Arabidopsis thaliana: one gene and its partners. The protein of the gene in region 2 interacts with the protein of the main gene of each other region in a biochemical or structural test. Each region holds a gene or a part of one and is shown on either strand. Other genes may lie near its edges.

Region 1 (5,150 bases), 5.7 Mb from region 2:
GTGGAAGAAATTGTCGATCTCTCTGTTATCCAACTCTTTGTCGCGTTTCTTTCAGAATTTCTATATCTGTTGGGTCTCTGTTCTCTACTAGAAGAAATCGTCGATCATTGATTCAGGTAAGTTCTCGTTCTTTGTTATCCAAGTTTCTGCTTCAAGCATTCATCACCAAGATTCCAATTCGTTATTGGGGTTCTTGCAGAAACTTCTTCGAACATTCATATCTGTTAAGTTTTCACGTCGTTGGGTCTCTCTGTTAATCTGCTAGAAGAAATCTTCGATCATTGATTCATGTAAGTTCTCGTTCTCTCATAATCAAGTTTCTTCTTCTTCAGCATATATTCGTCTCTGTTACACTTTCACACCGTTTCTACTGCTAGAAGAAATCATATTCATTACCATGATTCCAATTCTTTTACTGGGTTTTCTTTTAGAATAATAGATCACTGTTTGTTTTTAGAGATCGAGTTTGATGAATTTGGTTTCTCGTTTCTTGGATCAGAAGCAAAAATGTCAGAGGTGTTAACACGCGGGTTTCGATTTCGCCCAGCTGATGAAGAAGTGACAGACTACCTTATGCGGAAGACACAATCGCCGGAGTTCAGCTGCTTTATCAAAACCATAGACTTGTACGACAAGGATCCGTGGGTACTTGGGCATGTGAGAGATCCGTGTTACAATCACTATGAATGGTATTACTTTGTTAAGAAAAACCCCCTCGGGAATGAGTACTTAGATAAGCCTAGATTGAACGGGTTTGAACATCCACGCTTGAAATGGGATGTGTTGAAGCAGATACATGATGCTCTGAGTTCTGGTCAGAACGTCCCACCAAGTGTCTTTACTTACGGATTCCGATTTCATCCGACTGATCAAGAGCTACTCTCTTTGTACCTCACTCCAAAGGCCCATTCACCAGACTTCAGCTGCTTCATAAGAGAGAGAGAGAGCTATATGCCATGGAGCCATGGCTTCTTGAACATGTTAGATCTCCTTTTTACAAGGACAGTGAATGGTACTACTTTGTGAGAAAGTGTTCGTCTCGTCGTGAAAAGCTGAATTTGATGTTCTACCTCAGGGGCAAGAAGAAAACATGGAGGGTCAATGGTGTTGTTACACAAATCATAGATAATGACATAGAGAAAAATGTTCTGGGAACTAAAACAAGATATTCTTTCAATCTCGATGTGGGGCGTGTCCACTCAATGACCGGGTGGAAAGTAGAAGAATTCCAATTGTCTTCGGATCCTGTTTGGGCGGTTTGCAGACTCACTTACCTGAAAAACGATTCCTGCGTGATTGATGATAGACCAATACTTCCGGGAGAAGAGCATCCTAAGCTTGAGTTGCAAGCATTGAAGAATTTACATGAGGTGTAAGTCAGTGTGAACCTAACATTTGATTCTTTTCTCTTTTTTGTTTTGTTTTGTTTAAGCAACATCATGAGTAGTGTGATGACTCTCTCAAACATTGTCTTTCTTGAGGAATATTAACAGAATGGTTTTGCTAAGGTCTTGGCCTCTATACATATAATTCAAAGTAGAGAAAAAAGGTTTTCAGATTCTGATTTCATTCGTTTTGAACATGAAGAGTCCTTGATAGAAGTATCATCATGACTTGATGATGATGTATCACTGTCTTCTTGAAGCTTTCTCTTGTTAGAATGGCTTAAGATTTTGCATTCCTCAGCTTCATTCCTCATTATAAGTTGTTTGATTCGCTTTACATCTGCTAGCTTCACCGGTTTCAACAAGAATTCCTCTGCTCCTTCTTTGAGACATCTAAAAACAAGAAGAAGAAGTCGATAAGTTTAGATCACAGTGTAGACACAAATATGATCCCATCTGTATCACTACACATTACACAATCAGTACTTACTCTTGTATACGAGGTAAGATGTTCTCAGATGACATAATCACTACTGGTACTTCTCTGAATGCTGAAGATTCCTGCACATATCAATGGAGTTTTGTATAAGCAGCATTAAAAAAGCTTTGTTTAAGTCTTTCTCAGATTGGTAAATCCATTATTATTGTTATTACCTTAATCTTTTTAAGGAGATCATATCCTGAAAGTCCTGGCATTGAGTAATCCGTCACTATCAAATTCACCTTCAAATCCTGTTATGATGAAAATCACAAACAAAATCAAATCTTAATACCAAAACACATAAATCACTAACTAGACTAGTTCATTTCTAAATCTCATTTGATCATAAAGACAAGAAGAAGCAATAGCCAAAGCCAAAGTTGCAAAGGTTTCACTCCTTCGGTCTTTCCTAAATATACAAGAGTTCTTCTCAGTAGATAGCAAAAGAGGGAAGATTTATTCTTAATTACCTTAAGATTAGAAGCCCCTTTGCCTCCATCTAAGCCAAGATACTGCAAAGCCCTAGTTCCACTCTCTACAGTCGTCACTGAAATAACAAAAAAAAAAAGACACTTGTAACTAAAAAACAGAGGAGAGTTTGTTAATGAAGAAGAAAAACAGAGGAGAGTTAAAACCAACAAAAACAGAGCAGAAAAAGATTGGTTTTGAGTTTTTACCTTTACAAGAAGAGATTCTAAGCAACCTCTCGATGACTTTACGATCCACAATACTATCATCGACGGCAAGAACATGCAACTCCGGAGTAGTAACAGTCAAATCTCCACCGGCGGGAATCTCCATCCTCATGACCTCACCAACCGCCATTGTCAAACTCAGAATAAAAAAGAGAGCAGATTGGTTCCAAGAAGAGGAAAGCTTTGGATTGAAGACAAAGGAAATGAATGTGATAAAATGAAAGAAGAAGAAGTTAGGTTAGGTGACATAAATAAGAAGGGAGAGGTGGTGGGGTTTAATAAGTACTAGTATAGTAGATAGAGAGAGATTTGGAAGATCGGATCTTGCGGGGTAAGATCTTTGAAGAGGAAACAAAATCTTAAAAATGGGTCAAGTGTTGATGTTATGTGTTTGGGAAGTGTCAGAAAACACAAATAATCAAATGTGTCTTCAAAGGTCAAAATCTTTGGGCACCGAATCTTTTTTAAGATTTCAAAGATCTTTGTTTGGTCTGTTTCTTTCAATCCGACAGCGACTACTCCCTCGTGACCTGGAACTTTCCTTCTGCTTTTAGTAATTTTATTTTAGTTTTACCTCTCTCTCTCTTCTTTTTTCTTTTTCTTTGCCAAGTCGGCTACTACTTTGCATTTTACTTACATATCAATCAATGATCTAAAACCGGTGGTTATTGCTCAATTAATCTACTTCTATATTCATTTTAACTTCAACATTGTATTTTGTATTTTCCTATACACGTGATTCGTTTATACTCTACTAAATTTTATTTATGTGTAATGGTATGATGGTGATACTAATACAATTTAATCCTCTTGTTGTCTTTTTTTTTTTCTTTTTTAATTTGGGTAAGAAGTATTTTACAAGGTTATCTTAATTTAATTTTCTTTACGTCAGTAAGGGTTATTATTTTATTTAAAGACAAAAGGGACATTTTTTATTTTTTATTGTCATCGTTTTCAGTTGAGTTTCCTTTATTAAATTGATTGAATTTTGTATGCAATAAAGGCACTCTGTTTAGTGGACCATTGTGTGTGATTTGTGAGTCTCTTTTGCTTTTGGACAAAATCTTGAGAGAAAAATATGGACAAAGTATTGCGGGTGGATCCTTTTGTCTCAATCATAACATCTTCTAAACGAATTGCAAGAGGACTAAGGCAATAGTACATGTTATTTGGTTTCAAATCAATTAAAAAACGTATATTATACGATCCCTAAATAAGTGTCAAACATGAAATTCCTAAATTAAATTGGAGAAATAATACCAGGACAACAGCCATATCATATAAGGATCTCTTTGCAGATTTAAAAGGTTTTTTTTTTTATTTTGCAACAAAAGGGAATAGTTTTGTCATCATTTCATTTAAGTTGTTTAGTGATTTTTTTTAGTTGACCATCATTGTGTGATTTTGTGAGTCCTTTTTGGACAAAATCTGGAGAGAGTAAAATCTTCAAAAGTTGTGGAGGAGGATCCTTTATAGTTTGTAACATCTTTTAGCCGATTGTGAGAGGACATTGACAAAAACATTTTGTAAAGAAAACTGGTTTCTTAGCATTAATTTAGAATCTAGCAAACTTTTTGTAACGATTTGATAGATATCTACAAATATCAATGTTGAGATCTACAAGAATCTAGCAAAAACATGATGGTCTTCACACCTAACACTTACGAAAAACATTATTTTGAAAAAAAAAAAAAGAGTCAGTCATTTGAAGAGAAAATTATTACAATGTTGATCCACATGTCTAAACATTTGATGATCGTGCCAAACAAAACATTGGTGATAAGAACATTACTGAAAGGAAAAGGAAAAAACCATCAATATGTTTCACATTTTCTTATTTTCATTGCAATTTATATATGGAACAAACTTGCTTTCAAATGTTTTTTTCCACCTAGATTTTAATGTCTTATGTTTCAAGTTATCAAGATCTTTGCATACATTTTGAATAATAAAATAAACAAATCAAGAGACAGTCATCCATTTGCTCCGTACCTAAGATTTATGAAAAGAAAATCCTAAATCCAATTTAAAAAAACGAACCACAACCACCAAAGTCTTTCATGTATTCAGTTATTTTTTAGAAGTCAATAATTTGATTTTAAACATAAACGAACAGTTCCTGAATAATAGAAACGGACTATTGATGATATAGTCACGATAGCTACAAGAGGAGAAAAAACACTATAGTCATAACAACGCTAAAATATATATAAAAGTGTTCTCCGTTTGTTGGTTTCGTAATAAATAATGCTTCATCATATAGTCACGTACTGATTTGTTTACAAAGTTTGCTTACAATCTCAAGATACGATGACCAAAATACCAAAGATATTACTAGTTATTTTTCAAGACTAATATTATTATCGTATATAAATATACTGTTTTTCTCATAACAACATTATTTTCAGCTCATTGTTAACATGCTTATATGTGACAGTAATATATACACAAATTGATACAATATTTTTGTCAAACTTTAATTTTATGACTTATCACATAGAACAGTATTGATTTGTCTATATGCGTCCAGTGCGATAATAATCAAGTTTGACTCTAAGGTATAATCAACTGGGAAAAAATTAGTTCCAC
Region 2 (5,855 bases):
CTTGGACGAGCGAGATTTCCGTGACACGTCAGCTTTCTGGTTCGATAATTACTCTATTGTACTAGCTACTACCTTTGTTTTATAATTGTACTTTATTATTTTTTCCAGATATATTTTGCTCGATTTTAAAACACAAAATCAGCGTTACAATTTCATTTTCCTGATTGAAGTTGATGAAAAAATAAAATAAAGAATTTTCCTGATATTTAACACAAATCATAACGCATATCGTAGGAAGTTTAGCTTATGATAGATGGTTAAGTAATGGTCAATGTAACTGATGAAAGTTTTAGTCAATATCAACTTTGAAGTGTGTCCTAGTCTATATCTAACTAAGCTTTACTGTACTATATCCACTTCCAACAAATCTTGCGACCAAAAGTTTATTTCACAACTACTTTTGATTAGTTAAATGTTATAGTCCCTAGTTAGTACTAAATGTTTGATTCGCCATAGGGCTTCTTTGATGAAGTTATAGATTAACACATCTATCGAAGAAATGTTTCGTATACCGACTCTTGCATAAATCAACAAATGTTTTTGTCAATTGTTTTCACTCGTTTACATTTAGCCATTATACTAATTACTAACTTACTTCATTGACCAAAAAATATATAACTGTATTAATCTATATTTATATATGAAAGAAAGTTTTAATATTTTACGAATGAATAAAATGAATATGAGAAAGATGTAAAAGCTAGCTATGACAGTTAGATAGGTGAAAGAGAAAAAAAAAGATTTGTAAGGTTGTTCCAACTGTCTAAATTTTACAAAGGTAGCTGGCAAATGGTCCTTCAATTCCGTGGGCGTAAAGAAAGATAATTGGTAAAAAAGTTGGACAACGCATAAGAGATTGACTTTAAGTTTAAAAGCAAAAGGAAAAAAAAAGAGTAAATATGGTAAAAACAGTGACATGTTATATTTCTCTAGTTTTTACTCATTTGGTTTTTCACAAAACTTGTTGTTTGTATGTTAAAAAAAGGAATAGGAGCTTGGACCACAAGTTTTAGCAACAACACATGCATAAGATGGTCAGGTCAACATTTATAACGCTTACCCAATTTTAACATTTGTTTCACTACATACGCAAGCAACAAAATAGCTCGATATATACCTCTACTGTACAATCTTTTGCCTTGTGTACGTATATTAGCAGATTGTCTCTACTTTTGATGTGCATTAATTAGTTTCATAAGTGTAACTACCGTTTTCTGAAAATAATTAACTCATAGCGTACATCTAAATACGTTTCAAATAATGATTCGCTACTGATTCACATATACCAACCATGCATAATAAAAATGATTTAGTATTCATTCTAAGAGAGACTAGGTAGTGATGAGTAGACCAAATTAGATTTATGAAAAGAAAACTTGGCTTTGCAAGAAAGCCAAAGCAATACGTTCCAATCATAATGAACAAAATTAAAAAGGTCTAAACCCTAAGATGGTCCGCACTACGAGACAATTAACGCACTCGTTTTGGGACTCTTGTGTTTGTTTGGTGTGTCGTCGAATCCTCTCTCCATAGAAGGTAAGATCACATAGTAACCGATATAAGATTTGCTTTGACTTTTGAATCGGTTTCATGAAGAACCCTAAAACCAACCATGTTATAAGGATATTACAAAATTATTTTAAAAACATTGGTTGAGAGAAATAAAAATGATGAAGATGGATATGATAAAATGAAGGATAGAGGAGAAAAGCTTTGTTATTATTTGTTACATTACACGCCTCCATGCCTTCAATTTATGTTTCATTAGTCTCTTTCACTTCACATACTCTTCCTTTAAAAAAAAAAAAATGCTCCACCTAGTGATTACCATAGACACATGGCTTCACATTTTTTATTCCACTTATAAACAATCTATTGATAATTCTTCGACATTTTCTTTTTATTTCATTCCTAGTTTGAGGTAATTCGGACATTATATTAAATACATACCTAACAAGACATGCCCAATCCTTTCTCAATCTATTGTCACAATCATGTCTTATAAGCCCTATAACAATAATGTTGATAAAAGAGACCATGGAATACCGTTAACAAAATAAAGAGACCATGGAATCGTGTTATCCATAATTCAAACAAATCATTCTTGATTAATCCACACATAATGAAATCGTCTAAAGTGCTAACTAGTACCCGCATGCTTTACGGCTCAAATCAAAATCATGAATCCAATAGAGTATATCAGATTCAGAATAATGCTGAGAATTCTAAGTCATGATGGTCAGAACAAAGGCTCCAAATGGTGGTTGCATTGTGACAGGAATACATATGGACATGTCTATTTATAGACTAATAATTCAATTTTTACTCTTAGAACTCAATTAAGAGTCTAAACAAGACACGATATCTGGCCAGGGACAGTGTTGCTGAACCTCATTAATCAATATAAAACATAACAACAACAACAAAACTACAGAGGAGTTTCGGTTTCATTTGTGTCATCAGCCTTGAACATTTGCATAATCGAGAAACGCATCGGTCTAATTTATATCCACTTGAGGAATTGTACCTCCAGCTTGGAGGATCTGTTTCTCTAACTGCAACAACATAACATAACAGAAACAGAAGAATGAGAAGTAGCAAAAGGCTCAGTAAAAAGAATACACAAGCAGAACAAGTAGGTTTTCGCAAAGTTTAAAACTCACATTAAAGAGATCCTGAAGTTTAGTCTTTAACATCTTATATTCATAATCCACCTGCTGTAAACACCTTAGACACCTGTGCCAGATATCATTATCACAATTTGTGTGTGAATTAGAAGAATAGCTTCTCATATAATAAAAAAGTTTAGAGATCCAATAACATTTTGCATCAACAAGCTAAAAAATATACTCACCCTTCACGGTTCTGAACATCGCAACATTCCTTGAAAGATATGCACACATTTTTCACCCTCCTTGCACCGACACTGAGTACAAAGCAGAGACTGAGCCATTAAAATCAATGTAGTTTGGTCACTTAAAACTAGAAAAGCAAATTTAGCAGTGTTCACTGTGACAAACCTGGAGCTACTACCCTTGAGTTGATGAACACCTGAATCCACCTGTTTGAAATCCACATTATCTGGCCGCTCCCTAATGTTTATAATAAACTCATAAAATGCTGTCATGAATATATGAAGCTAATTTACACCCTCAAAAATGAATATGAAGGAGGATTAGAGACAAAGTCCCATGTTAGATAAAAAAGAGAAGCCTAAGAGAGTAAGCAAAGCTTACAGGGATATAGACATGGTATTAATAAGCTTGGAACAGTCGTCGAAGAATAGAGAGACAACTTCAGCTACAAAATCAGGGGTTCCTTCATCTTGCAACTTTCTCAACTCTGAGAACTGATTATCCAGAAATCCCTTCAAAACAACAACATATTATATCATCTTTATAAAAAAAATAAAAAAATTCAAATTCACACATAACTGCACCTTAAGCTTATCTAAGCCCAAAAGTGAGAATCCAGCCAAAGTAAGAAAAGTTTGGTTAGGAACGAACCTGTTGATAAAGAGAAACGATGTAGTCTTGAAATTGTCTCTGCAACTGAGCAACGACGATGGTGTTCATAGCTAAAGTTTACCAAGAACCAGACTTGTAAACAAAGATGGTAAGAGCTTCTCAAACATACATATACCAAAAACAAACAACGGATACGGTGAACTGTATTTCGACGGTTCCGAGATCGATCTAATCGGAGGTTTTTGGCTTAATTTAAAACAGATCCAACAACAACTAGGCGAAAAGACCAAAGAACAAACTTCCAACTTAACTAAGAGATTCCAAATTCAAAATCGGAGCGACACAGAGAGAGATGATGATGAATCTGATCGGAGCGTCGAAAGTTATAATTTATTCCACGTTCCGTTGACTGATTTTGACTTAAATATCAAATGGAGGGTTATTTTTGTAAATGACTATATTGTAGGAATTAATCAAGTACGTAAATAATATTTTAGTTTGTGGGGTGCAAATCTGATTTTATAGATAGGGAAGTTGCTAGCATGCGTTCTCCACAAACGAGATATCTTTTTTTTTTTTTTTTAAAAAAAAAGGTCCAGTCCCAATTGGGCTTAGGCCCGGAATTACAATCGTCCACAGTTACAAAACAGGAAAAATCCGGTCACCGGAAAAAGAGAACCAGAGGTGGATTTGGGCAGTGGAACGGAGGCAGCAAATAGATCTATTAGTACCGTCGTATACAAGGCCCACTACTTTGCAACACAACCACCGGAACGAGATCATTGGCCGAAGTATACGAGTCCTGCCGCAAATCTCTTACCAATGAGCTGGCCGGACCTGCAACAAACCTAACGGAAAAAACCCAGTTTCCGACACTCCGCCACCCAATTTGGTCGAGTCCCCAACCTCGCAAAACGACCACGCATTTCCAAGCCTCTGACCTCCAAAACCTTAGATCTGAAAATTTTCCAAAAGCAAAGCAACCTTCAATCCGGATTGATGGAGACAAAAAACGGAGGCTAAAGAAGGGTGATGGCTCAGACAACCCTTCAGCAACCGGAACCCGCAACAGCCATCTCAGATCCAGTTTGTTAACCATCAAACACGCACTGAAAACCCACCAATCCACAGCGTCTTCCGCCACAGCTACAGCGTCTAACCAAGTGGTTGAACCAAGAAAGACTTCACCGATCTCCACCGACGTCCATAACCAGGAAGAAACGGAAGAGAAGCCTCTCATCCACCGAGAAAGGGCCACCGCTGCCACGCTTACCGGAAAAACCACACCACTCCAATGCCGGAGAAGATAGCTTGCCTTACTCCTGCTTTGTCTTGCAAATTCATAACCTAAGATGAAGAACAGAGGCAGAAAAAACTAGATCTGTAAAAACTGGAAAAAACTTCAAAGAGAGAGAAAATGAACAGTAGCGGAACGATTGTCCAAAGTCCTCCAAACGAGATATCTTTAAATGTTGTTTTGCTAATTAGTGGCGTTTCGAGAGCTAGGCGAGCAACAATGGCGATGAGATTTAATATGGTAAGTGTGTAGTTAATTAACAAAAGTTCAAACCGGATGCTATTCTTACTTGTAAAGACAAACGACCAATTAAGAATCCAAATTTTAATATAGGAATTGAAATAAACTAATGGACCTTGTTTTTGGCGATTCATTTCTTTATTTGTTATCTTAATATGGGTCACGATTCCTTTTGTTATTTAATTGTATTAAGATGTGCATTAAGATGTGGAATAATAGCACTTATGCAAATCTGTGCATTGCAAAAAAAAGAAAGAAGAAGCAAGATGGAGTCAAGTGATCGTTCAAGTCAAGCAAAAGCTTTCGACGAGACAAAAACCGGCGTGAAAGGGCTTGTGGCTTCGGGAATCAAAGAGATTCCAGCCATGTTCCATACACCTCCGGATACTCTAACAAGCCTGAAACAAACAGCACCACCTTCGCAGCAGCTGACGATCCCCACGGTGGATCTGAAAGGAGGAAGCATGGATTTGATATCGCGGCGGAGCGTGGTGGAGAAGATTGGAGACGCTGCGGAGAGATGGGGATTCTTCCAGGTGGTGAATCATGGGATCTCGGTGGAGGTGATGGAGAGGATGAAAGAAGGGATTCGCAGGTTTCACGAGCAGGACCCGGAAGTGAAGAAACGGTTCTACTCTAGGGATCACACTAGAGATGTGCTTTACTACAGCAACATCGATCTCCACACTTGTAATAAGGCTGCAAATTGGAGAGATACGCTCGCCTGTTACATGGCCCCCGATCCTCCCAAGTTACAGGACTTGCCCGCGGTTTGCGGGTAACGTTTCCCTTTCCATACCAAACACCTAGCTAGCTAGGATTCATTTCTCTTTAGTTTTTTTTTGGTTTAT
Region 3 (6,001 bases), 2.6 Mb from region 2:
ATCGCAGAGAATAGTGTGGACTAAAAAGCCTGGTTTCTTTAGGTATATGAAATTACATTTCGTTTGGTTAAATTATATTCATTTTTGTTTAGTCTATATTTTCAAAAGTGACAATTACGATATCCATTTTGATTGAAAAGTGTTCAGGGCTTTGGTTGGGTTTAACTGTCCGACCCTAGTGAATATTAATATGGATCAAACACAGACACAATTGGGCCTTCACTAAAATCTTCAGTTTCGGGCATAAAATATAGAAAGCTTCACTACTCCGATTGCCAACCCCCTTTTAGAGCTAGCGCATGCATGTTCATATATTGTTGAGATATATCTGTTAGTTGATTGTTATGTCAAAAATCTTAACTTATGAAATTTTATGTGCTCCTTGTTCTTGACGTTTTTGAAACATTTCTTGCATGAGTGTGTGTGATAATAAGCATAACACATCGAAATAGAAGTATAAACTTCGCAAATAATAATTAACGACTAAGAATAAAAAAAAACTTTGCAATATGGTGTTAGAGCCCACAATTTTCTTAAATTAAGACAAACGAGTAACTTCGTTTTCATCGAGATCAACATGGCCTCATATTGATGGTGAAATTTTTGATACATAAAGCTAGAGAGCACAATTTGGAAGAGAATAATTACTAGCTCACAAAAAAGTCTAAGAATCAATAGGATAGGAGATATAACTCAGACAACATAAGAGTGATACCAAGGAAGGAGAAAGACCAATCTATGTTATCCAACAAATGCTTTGTAGATTAGATATGAGCTTATGTTGACATTAATCTGGATTTTCGGATTTGAGATTCAACTATATTTCCATGTACGTATAGACTAAAATTGAGTTTCTATATGATCCATTGATCCTGTAACAAAATCTAGACGTCAAAATGAAAATATTCAAGTGTACATGATTTTGAGTATTGTATAATTAGGTCAACTAATCAATTACTTTTATTTCTACAAATATATTATACTATGTAGAAAATATTTACAATAATGATTAGAATATAAAGATGCTCCAAACCTCAATCGAGTACCAACATAAAATTAATTAAAGGGAAAATGTCAATGTCTTTAATTTTGTAATTGATGTCCAAAGTTCCTAGAAAAAAGATAGATTACGATTTTATGTGCGACACGTTGATGACTACTTTTATGGATTTTTTTGTTCAACCCTCGATTTTGAGTTGACATCATGAAGATTTGATCCATCATTCGTTGGCCCATATCGTTTGAAAAATCAATTCTCAAATCAATCTTAAATTTCGCGTAATTATTTTATAAAAATGGGCAATATATCCATTGTAAGATTTGTCTATTTCACGCGTCATTTTTCTTTCTACTTTGTTAGATGTTTTTGGTTAATGTAGAAAAACGATTAAATTAGAGACACTATCAATTAGAAGAAACAAAAGTCTTTTGATAAAACTCTACTTTGATCATCCACGACTGTGATCGATAACTTCTAAGCAACCTTGAAACCTGATCTTTTGAGCTTTAACTTTAAGTAGGAAAATGTCATAGTATTGGATTTGGTCGTCTTTAGTTTACATTCAATCTGGAATAAATTTGTTTCTCTAGAAAAAATAAAGAGCCAAAGAATCATTATATATATTTATTGTTCTCATGTTTATATACCTATTTTTTCTTAATAGTAGCTCTTTATTATCAAGAGATTTTTAAAAACACCTATATTGTCATAACATTTTCATAAAATTTTTAAAAATAAAATAGAAAATCAAAACATTTACCCTTTCAACAAAAAGAAATAATAATGATATTTTATATAAAAAAATATAATAAATGGGTGGGAAAGAGAAAGCAAAAGCGATCTCCAAGATTTGATACGGTGTGGTGTCTAAAAGAGTGAAACAGCAAATTATGTTTGGAAGATTAAAGAAAAAAAAGAAGAAGAGAGGTAAAGTCCAATTCCCCCTTTCATTAATACAAATTGTTCCCAACAAAATATTTATGGGTCCCTCTTTTAGATTTCCCTGGGTCCCGCGGATCCAAATTTTAATGTGGACGTCAAATCCTTTTTTTTTATTATTATTTGTCCACTTTCCTCTTCTTCTTTTTTTTTTTTTTGCCATTTGAAAACGATATAAATAAAAGTGTTTGGATAACATAAAATTTCTAGAGTCATATGGATGGATATACTACTAGTTAGGCGTATACTAATTTTCTCGTCAACCCACAAAACCCGATCTTAATATTATTCTATGAATTGCATTTGAACCATAAATTTTAAATTAGAAACTGACCAATCACATGGAACAATATAAAATTGTCTTAGTGGTTAGTACTTAATACAAATAAGACCAATCCGAAGAACCGAGCCGGTTAAGTTTAAACACGCTACTATGAATTGTAATGGTGTATGACCAAAATTAGCTTCTTTAATCTTCTGGTTTATTATTCTTAACAGTGAGTGATTCCATTTTCAGTTTTTTTTTTCCAATCACACTAATGAGTAATGACGAGATTTTGACTAAGAAGTTGTATATATCTCACGATGGTATATTTTTATTTTTTGGATTCCTTTGTACGGATTTCTTCTCCTCTATTATTTATTCGATTTTAGGAATATTATTTTCTCTATGATATTCGCATAGGCCCTCCACCGGATTTTCCATAAAATCTCTATTTATTAATACTATTGTTTTCAAAGATAAAAGTTCAATTTTTTCAACCCTAAAAGCACGGCACATAAAAATATATAATTTTCACATTAATAGGAACCAAAGATTTTGTTGGATTTTCCTCGCTGGAGATTTTTCAAAATAAAAATTGAAAAAACCAAAAAGACACACTCATAAAAGATTTATTTTAGAGAACAAAAAAATCAGAAATATAAAAAACTGTCTTAAGGAAGAGAAAGGAACAAAAGAAAACAGATGTGAGCTCTTCTTCTTCGTCTTCTTCTCTCTATTTTATTCTCATCCTCTCCTCACAGTTACTATAAGCTCGTCTATGGCCAGAGACGGTGGTGTTTCTTGTTTACGAAGGTCGGAGATGATGAGCGTCGGTGGTATCGGAGGAATTGAATCTGCGCCGTTGGATTTAGATGAAGTTCATGTCTTAGCCGTTGATGACAGTCTCGTTGATCGTATTGTCATCGAGAGATTGCTTCGTATTACTTCCTGCAAAGGTTCGTATTTTTTCAAAAAAAAAAACATCTTTCACTTTTTTTTATTCCTCGCCGGAATATTTACATCTCCGGTGGTATCGTTTGTCAGTTACGGCGGTAGATAGTGGATGGCGTGCTCTGGAATTTCTAGGGTTAGATAATGAGAAAGCTTCTGCTGAATTCGATGTAAGTTATTGAAATCTGATACAGCTTTTTGTTTTTTTTGAAGATTACGATTCGTGAGTTTGATTTAGTTTAAATGGATATTTTCAGAGATTGAAAGTTGATTTGATCATCACTGATTACTGTATGCCTGGAATGACTGGTTATGAGCTTCTCAAGAAGATTAAGGTCTGCATTTTCCCGCCATTTTCCTGTTTCAGATTACGGTTGTTTTAGTAACAATGTTGAATTTTCCGGTCATCTGAAACAGGAATCGTCCAATTTCAGAGAAGTTCCGGTTGTAATCATGTCGTCGGAGAATGTATTGACCAGAATCGACAGGTGTGATTCTTGTTGATTTCTTCACAGATTTTGGAGTTTTTAGAAACTGTTGATTGATTTGATAAAATTTTGTAAAAAAAAAAAATGATTTTTGAACAGATGCCTTGAGGAAGGTGCTCAAGATTTCTTATTGAAACCGGTGAAACTCGCCGACGTGAAACGTCTGAGAAGTCATTTAACTAAAGACGTTAAACTTTCCAACGGAAACAAACGGAAGCTTCCGGAAGATTCTAGTTCCGTTAACTCTTCGCTTCCTCCACCGTCACCTCCGTTGACTATCTCGCCTGAATCGTCGCCGCCGTTGACTGTTTCGACTGAATCGTCGGATTCGTCTCCGCCGTTATCTCCGGTGGAGATCTTTTCCACCTCGCCACTTTCATCTCCGATAGACGATGAAGATGATGACGTGTTGACGTCGTCGTCGGAGGAATCGCCGATTCGACGGCAGAAGATGAGGAGTCCCGGATTAGATTAGTGGAACTATTCTGGGATGCCGTGTAATATTATCTATCTCCGTTAACTTCGTTTTTACCTCTGACGGTGTTTTTAATTGCACGTTGACTTGACGCCGTCAAATTTTATAGATGTCCCTTTAATCTCTCGCGCCTCCACGTGGGCCTTTTTTCCTTTTCCTTAAAGCTTTTCGAATATCTTTTAATTATTTTAATTTCTGCACAAAGTTACGTTTTTAACTTTTTTAGTCTTTAAACAAAGGGAAAATTGCAATCGAACCTTCGACATTCACCATTTATTATGATAACGAGACTTGAATATGCGTTTTTTTCTTATGTATTGGGTCCTAAATAAGTCAATATCATAGACATATGGGGTTTTATAATCAGAAAGTTAGCTAGATCTGACAATTCAAGAATCAGAGAGCTAAGGTTTTTTTTTCCAGATACAAATCAACTAGTAACATTTGAATCCACTATAGTCATTAAACAGTTCCATAAATATATATCAGTTTTATGACCCAAAATACTCCTATTAATGACTATAAGCCGATGCTCTAATTTTTTTGGCTAAATTATAAATATTTCATAGATAATGAAAACAATTTAGGTTACAAACATAAAATTTGAAACTTATACATATGAATTTATAGTAAAAAAGAATAAAAATATAAATGCATAAAAGGCGGTTAATTAAAACCAAATTTTGGGTCCATTTTTCAACCTTGCAATGAAGCTAAGGGAATAGATGAAACGATGACGTTCAATTCTATCCTTCCCAAAAGAGATGCACAAGCCGATGCTCTAATGCAACTTTGAATATACATATTTAACCCAAGAAAAAAATGCTTATAATATACGACGAAGTAGTGGATGCATCATTATGCATGTGTAGATGTGTAGAGAGTAAGCAAGAAAATAAAAAGAAGAAAGAAGGAAGAGGAAGAAAGAATAAATGCAAAGCTGGAAATGGGCAACTCTTGTTCCCTTCCTTTGGGGCATATTTCTCCATAAATAGTCTCTATAGATCCCTTGTCTCTGGCACCCATTTTGGTGTTTCTTTTTTTATGGTCATGTGTTTTTACCATTTGGATCCAAGTAAGATCTTCACATTAGAAACCACGACCAATATAATTAAGCTTGGGATAGCTTTAACTTTTGTATATATGTTGCTTAACGTGTGTGTTTCGGATCTATGTTTGATTGGTACTAGAGGTTGTTATAGGCGGTTGGTCGTAAACTTATTTATCATCGAGAAGACCGCTGCAACAATCTAAGGACATGACCCAATTGCTATTCGCATTCATTTTCTGATGAACAAATCAGATGTTCTTTCGATTATCTAATAAAACATATTATATCTCACTTTATTTTAGCTTGTAATCCAAATTTAGACGTCAGGTGTTCTTTTTCTCTAAATCAACCTAATTCAACCTAAATCAACCATTGAACGAAATTCTATATTCACACACGAATTTTACTCGTATTATTTATAAAAAAAATAATAAAAGATACAATATAAAGAGTTGGATTAGTATAATAATCTAATGACAGAGCCAACCACATTGGAAAGACGAAATCAATTTTAAAATTTGTAGATGCAATGTATATAACCAACAAAATCATTAATTATTGTCGACAACAAAATCATCCCCAAACGATACTCCTCACGTTTGGCGTATTTAAAATTTTGCAATAAATTAACAAAAATTGTCCTTGGTTTGCGTTTTGTCCCTTCATGTGGGGGAATAAATCTCTCTACCACATCTTTTTCTTTTGTCATCTTTGGGGTACTGTAGTGTCCGATCGCTGTTGCATGTGTGTTTCCACGTTTTTTGCTTTACTCTTAACATGTAGATTACTTTTGTCTACGGCTAGTTTGCTGTTTAATTTATTCTTCTTTCTT
Region 4 (5,385 bases), about 27 Mb from region 2:
TGGACCGGGCGTCAGGCTTATGAGCTGCATCATCCTTGACGATGTTGAGATCATGGTATGTCTACTTATACAAGACACAAAGTGAAAAACGGTTAAATTTTCTCGAGGTTGACCCTTCAGTGACTCTTTGCCCAGGAAAATGCAGTGGTGACTAACGCAATTGTTGGGTGGAAATCTTCTATCGGGAGATGGTCCCGCGTCCAGGCATGTTTCCCTCTTCTGCTCATCTCTTAAGAGCCTGACTCATTCTTTTTGGACCTTGAAATGTTTTTGTTTGATTCCTTTACAATCGTGAACCTGAAGTTGTACTTTGTTGATCACAGGCTGAGGGAGTCTACAATTCGAAACTCGGAGTTACAATTCTCGGTAAACTGTTCCTCCATTGTAGCTCCTTCTCTTTATATACAGAAAGCAAAATCTCTTTATAGACAGATAACTAACCTCAAACATAATGGTTACAGGAGACTCGGTTGCAGTTGAAGACGAGGTTGTGGTGACCAGCAGTATTGTTCTTCCAAACAAGACACTGAACGTCAGTGTTCAAGACGAGATCATTTTGTAACTGAAAAACGGAAGTTGAAAAATGGAACCAACCCAGTGGGGAGCAGCCACACTATCTCCCTCTGATTCAATATCTACTGGAGAACCACATAAGCAAATATTTGGGAACTAATTCACATGTATCATTTATTTACACCAAGAATTTTCCAACATTGTATCAATTCCATTTTCTATACTCACAACACAGCTACTGTAAAAGGCACTGAATTTTTGCCCAGAATAATAAAGCACTTGTGTAGTTTTGGCATTGATAATAAACTGTTCTTGCAAAATCCTATGAAGCCTTTCCTGGTCCAGTCTCTATTAACTGCAATGCAATGCTTTGGGGAAGTATTGATTGTTGTAAACATAGCAAGAGTCTATCCCCAATCACATGCAGACTAGTAACTTCATAGCCTGAACTTCCGGAGAAGCCGGCTACCAGATTTACTCTGCAATCTCAAGATCTCCTTTGCAAAAGCTTGATTCCCTGTCAAAAGAAGCCCGTTCAGAACTCGATTAAAAGTAAATTTCCGGGGTATAAACCCTCTCTCAACCATCTCAAGCAATAGTTTACCAGCGACCACCATATCTTCTGATCTTTTTCTCACAAACATTCCACTTATCAGTATGTTGTAAGTATCTAGATTTGGCAAGCAATCACCACTCCCCATTTTCTCAAACAAACCCAACGCTTTCTCGACCTCGCTGCATTCCGAATAATAACGGATCATCATGTTATATGTCTGGAAGTTTGGTTCACAGCCTTCATTCTCCATTCTCTGCATCAACTCCTCTCCACGACTAAACTCTCCAGCGTGAAACAACCCTCTTATCAACACATTATAAGTCGTCACATTCGGCTCATAACCTCTCCTCACCATTTCCTCAAACATCACAACCGCATTCTCCACATTATCTTTCTTACACAAAACTTGAATCATAGCATTGTACGTCGCAACAGAAGGAAGCACACCTTCTCTAATCATCTCATCGAAAACATTCCTCGCCCGCTTTATCTCCCCCGCAACACCAAACCCGTGAACCACAGTAGTATAAGTGACAACATCTATTTCACAATCCCGTTTCTTCATCTCCAAGAAGAATTCCCAAGCATGTCTAATCTGCCCAGCTCTGAAAAAACCTTTGAGCATTGTGTTATAAGTAGTCAAATTAGGGTTTATCCCTCTCTCAACCATCTCTTTCAAAACTTCTAAAGCCTTAGGCGTCCTTTTAATCAAACACCAACCGTTAAGAATCACATTGTAAGTAACTGTATCAACACTAAATCTTCCCCTAAGAGCTCTAAACAACTCATAAGCTTTCTCTACGCGTTTAGATTTACACAACACATCGAGAATCGTATTGAAAGAAGCTAAATCTTGAAAACAACCATGTTCGTGCATATTCAGAAACAGCTTAACCGCTTTATCGGGCTTCCCAGCGGATGCGTACCTCTCGGCGACGATTGCGAAGGTTTTGGGAGAAGGACCGATGCGGAGAGAGCGCATACGGTGAATGAGTGACCAGACGGTGGGGTGGAGGTGAAGACGGGCGGCAATGTCGATTGCGAGATCGAAGGAGGAAGCGTCGTGGACATATTCGCGGTGGTGATTGTCGAGGAAGTGGAAGAATTGGAGAGCTTTAGGGCCGTGGTTCCAGAGTCGCTTGAGAACAGAGTTCACGAGATTTGGGGTCCATGGGGTTGTTTTGGTGGAGAGTAGAAATTGATCGTCTTGGTGAGTTGTGTTCGGAGAAGAGAGGATAAGCTTAGCTATGGCGGCGGAATCTGCCGGCGGTGGTTTGAGATTGGCTCCGGCGGCCGAAGTACATAGCGATTTGCTAAAAAGACGTTTCATCGATTGGTTTGTTTTATTTTGTTTTGAAAAAAGTCTTTTTAAGTGACTTCTTGGGTAATTTGGTGTAGTTGTATCACATTTGTTTACCGCTAAATAATGTTTTAACCGTTTTATGGAACGTTTCTTTCTTTTTCAGATTGTACAGAGTTAGTTGGTTTATGGGTCTAATTGGGCATTCTTTGGAAATGGTCTCACAAGACATTGTGGAGTTCAAAGAAGAGTTCGACGATTCTCACAAACCAAACAGCAGAGTCGATTGCTAACCAGGCCTTTCCATCTAAAACATATTGGTTATAATTGATGCATTGCGGTAGGAGTATAGCGTATCCGTTGTAATTGATTATGAAAATAATACCAAAGCGATTAAAAAGATACTTTCACCGCACCGTTCTTTCTATCCGTTACTTTATACCACTTTTAATTATTTACATATCGTTAACCGCTTTCTCTATCTGCTTAAATTTTTGTACCGTTTTATGTTATTAATCAAACCTTGAATGGATATGTTTGTTTTTGTAATGGTGTCCACCAAAGTTTATTTGATGAGTTACAAAAATAATTATATTTTAAAGTTTTGAGAAAAAAAATCATGTTTGTGAACTTTCAATTGATTCACCTCATGAAGATTTTATAAGTTCTATATAGATTTTGTGAATCTTCAAAAGTACAAATATATGTACTCTTTTTCCAACATAAATGTAGTGAAAATTTTATTTTATGTGAAAGAATGAAAAGAAACCAAGTGAAAGAAATTAATAGACAGTACATGTAATTACTGAATACGAAAGATAAAAAGAGAGGAGAGTAGTCATTGTCAGATAGAAAGAAAGAGCAGACAAAAGGATCGTAAAATCAAAGAAAATTGGGTCCCTAAAAAGATTATGACCGTGAAGACACAATATTACGTTTTCTGACAAGACATAAACACATCACTCATCGCCTTTAGATTCTCTTCCGACCCTCACAAGATCTTAACAACAACAACAACAACATCAAGATCCGATCCTCCAGATTCTCTTCTGTGTATTTCCTTAAATCTCCTCCTCTTTCTCTTTCCTATTTATTTATGTATCTCACTCACCGCTTCTGCCTCTCTCTCTCTCTCTCTCTTATTTATGTAACTCCTCGTCTTCCTTCTTCACATTGATTTCTGCGTCCTTTGACGTTCAAACTTTAAACGTTTCTTCATCTGTTTTGTTGTTTACTTTCCCGAGAGAAAACAATGGCTCTCAGAGATTTATCTTCTTCTTTATCTTCTTCTTCTTCACCGGAGTTACATGTTCTTGCCGTTGATGATAGTTTCGTGGATCGTAAAGTTATTGAGAGATTGCTTAAGATCTCTGCTTGTAAAGGTAAAAGGCAAAACTGTTTCTCTTTACGTTTTCTGCTTTTCTTTTGTTTGGTTTCTGATTCGTTTTTTTGGATAAATTTGGTGGGTTTCTTTATATAGTGACGACTGTTGAGAGTGGGACTAGGGCTCTGCAGTATCTTGGTTTAGATGGAGACAATGGATCTTCTGGTCTTAAGGTATATATTCATTCATTTCTTAGAATCTCTCTGTTTTCTAGCAAAATCAACCCTAGACGTTGAAACTTGAAGTGTTCTTATGCTGGTTTGGCTCCCAAGAAATCTAAGGTTTCACAATGTGGATCAAAAGTTTAACCTTTAGAGGATGATTTTATTATTTGTTTATTGATGCCGTTTATATGAACAATTTTGCAAATTTTGATAACAGGATTTGAAAGTGAACTTGATAGTGACGGATTATTCAATGCCGGGACTAACAGGATATGAACTCCTCAAGAAGATCAAAGTAAATTTCTATTTTGTGTCATTTATTAGAGCAAGATTTGAATAAGCTCTTCTCGTGTTTTCCTTACAAAAATTCTGTTGTATATTTGCCAGGAGTCTTCAGCACTCAGAGAAATCCCAGTAGTGATAATGTCTTCTGAGAACATACAACCTCGTATAGAACAGTAAGTCACTATAGCTAAAGATACAAAACTGAATCAATGGATCTTAACACTGTAATCTGATTTTTTTGTCTATCCTCTCTTTTGTTGTTGTTGTTGTTGTAGATGTATGATAGAAGGAGCAGAGGAGTTTTTGCTAAAACCGGTGAAATTAGCTGATGTGAAGCGTTTAAAAGAACTTATAATGAGAGGTGGTGAAGCTGAAGAAGGAAAAACCAAAAAACTTAGTCCTAAGAGAATCCTACAAAACGACATTGATTCATCTCCATCATCATCATCAACATCTTCATCATCGTCGTCTCATGATGTTTCCTCCCTTGATGACGACACTCCATCTTCCAAGAGGATCAAATTAGAGTCTAGGGGTTAAATGATTGAGCTCAATCTTTTCTCACGTTTTCTCTTGATTTCCTTGTGTAATATACATTATTTTTGATATATGCAACTATGTAAGTCTAGATTCTAATGCTCACCTTATTACTCTGTTTTTTTTTTTTGTTAAAACAAAAGGAGATCAATGTGAATATGATTTAAACAATTTTATAAAATTAAATACTTTGCCTACAGTATATATATTGTTTCCTACTTCACAACCAGATCAATTAGATTCTATAATGTAACATATAATTTAAAAGTACACGTAAAAAGATTTTGTATATGATCTTCCATGTGACATACACGATTTCACTTGTATGTGTTTATAATTCATAAACTTTCAAGCATCAGAAAACAAAAAAAAACGAATATAATCTTTGTTGGAATACATTATCTATTACTATATTCCTAGTTGTATAGCAGAGGAAACTTGTTTGCACTTACGTGGCATCTTATGATTGGTTCAGTGATGTCTGTTTTAGACCGTTGAGAGACTTGGATACCATTGCGGTCTTATCCCGAAACTCCAAGAACACATAATTTTTTTTCTTGGTGGTCTCTCCAATGGCTTTCTCTGCGACTGTGTCTCAGCTTTCTTCTCTTTCAACCATCTCCTCTTCATTACCAATTTCTTCTAG

The links.
Region 1: the proteins of AHP5 (region 2) and ARR7 form a complex in vitro, tested with the Arabidopsis thaliana proteins (one study listed by BioGRID).
Region 3: the proteins of AHP5 (region 2) and ARR4 form a complex in vitro, tested with the Arabidopsis thaliana proteins (one study listed by BioGRID).
Region 4: the proteins of AHP5 (region 2) and ARR15 form a complex in vitro, tested with the Arabidopsis thaliana proteins (one study listed by BioGRID).

The regions. Positions count from the first base shown.
Region 1 is NC_003070.9:6,576,388-6,581,537, forward strand, and holds ARR7 (response regulator 7), read right to left. Parts: upstream 2,928-5,150; 5' UTR 2,692-2,927; coding exon 2,544-2,691; intron 2,414-2,543; coding exon 2,337-2,413; intron 2,118-2,336; coding exon 2,040-2,117; intron 1,947-2,039; coding exon 1,876-1,946; intron 1,779-1,875; coding exon 1,532-1,778; 3' UTR 1,446-1,531; downstream 1-1,445. Other genes in the region: AT1G19040 (NAC (No Apical Meristem) domain transcriptional regulator superfamily protein), read left to right, coding at 508-1,026. UniProt on the Arabidopsis thaliana protein: Functions as a response regulator involved in His-to-Asp phosphorelay signal transduction system. Phosphorylation of the Asp residue in the receiver domain activates the ability of the protein to promote the transcription of target genes.
Region 2 is NC_003070.9:845,879-851,733, reverse strand, and holds AHP5 (histidine-containing phosphotransfer factor 5), read right to left. Parts: upstream 3,942-5,855; 5' UTR 3,576-3,941; coding exon 3,507-3,575; intron 3,368-3,506; coding exon 3,237-3,367; intron 3,093-3,236; coding exon 3,021-3,092; intron 2,927-3,020; coding exon 2,855-2,926; intron 2,737-2,854; coding exon 2,664-2,736; coding exon of another isoform or gene 2,607-2,663; exon of another isoform or gene 2,556-2,606; coding exon 2,499-2,555; 3' UTR 2,113-2,498; downstream 1-2,112. Other genes in the region: 2A6 (2-oxoglutarate (2OG) and Fe(II)-dependent oxygenase superfamily protein), read left to right, coding at 5,160-5,782. UniProt on the Arabidopsis thaliana protein: Functions as a two-component phosphorelay mediator between cytokinin sensor histidine kinases and response regulators (B-type ARRs). Plays an important role in propagating cytokinin signal transduction through the multistep His-to-Asp phosphorelay.
Region 3 is NC_003070.9:3,440,741-3,446,741, reverse strand, and holds ARR4 (response regulator 4), read left to right. Parts: upstream 1-2,381; 5' UTR 2,382-2,982; coding exon 2,983-3,160; intron 3,161-3,248; coding exon 3,249-3,325; intron 3,326-3,412; coding exon 3,413-3,490; coding exon of another isoform or gene 3,491-3,572; coding exon 3,573-3,643; intron 3,644-3,742; coding exon 3,743-4,118; 3' UTR 4,119-4,754; downstream 4,755-6,001.
Region 4 is NC_003070.9:28,130,947-28,136,331, reverse strand, and holds ARR15 (response regulator 15), read left to right. Parts: upstream 1-3,306; 5' UTR 3,307-3,621; coding exon 3,622-3,751; intron 3,752-3,849; coding exon 3,850-3,926; intron 3,927-4,134; coding exon 4,135-4,212; intron 4,213-4,304; coding exon 4,305-4,375; intron 4,376-4,477; coding exon 4,478-4,742; 3' UTR 4,743-4,885; downstream 4,886-5,385. Other genes in the region: AT1G74910 (ADP-glucose pyrophosphorylase family protein), read left to right, coding at 1-55, 136-204, 324-366, 462-562; OTP43 (Pentatricopeptide repeat (PPR) superfamily protein), read right to left, coding at 951-1,030, 1,118-2,399; NdhO (NAD(P)H:plastoquinone dehydrogenase complex subunit O), read left to right, coding at 5,312-5,385. UniProt on the Arabidopsis thaliana protein: Functions as a response regulator involved in His-to-Asp phosphorelay signal transduction system. Phosphorylation of the Asp residue in the receiver domain activates the ability of the protein to promote the transcription of target genes.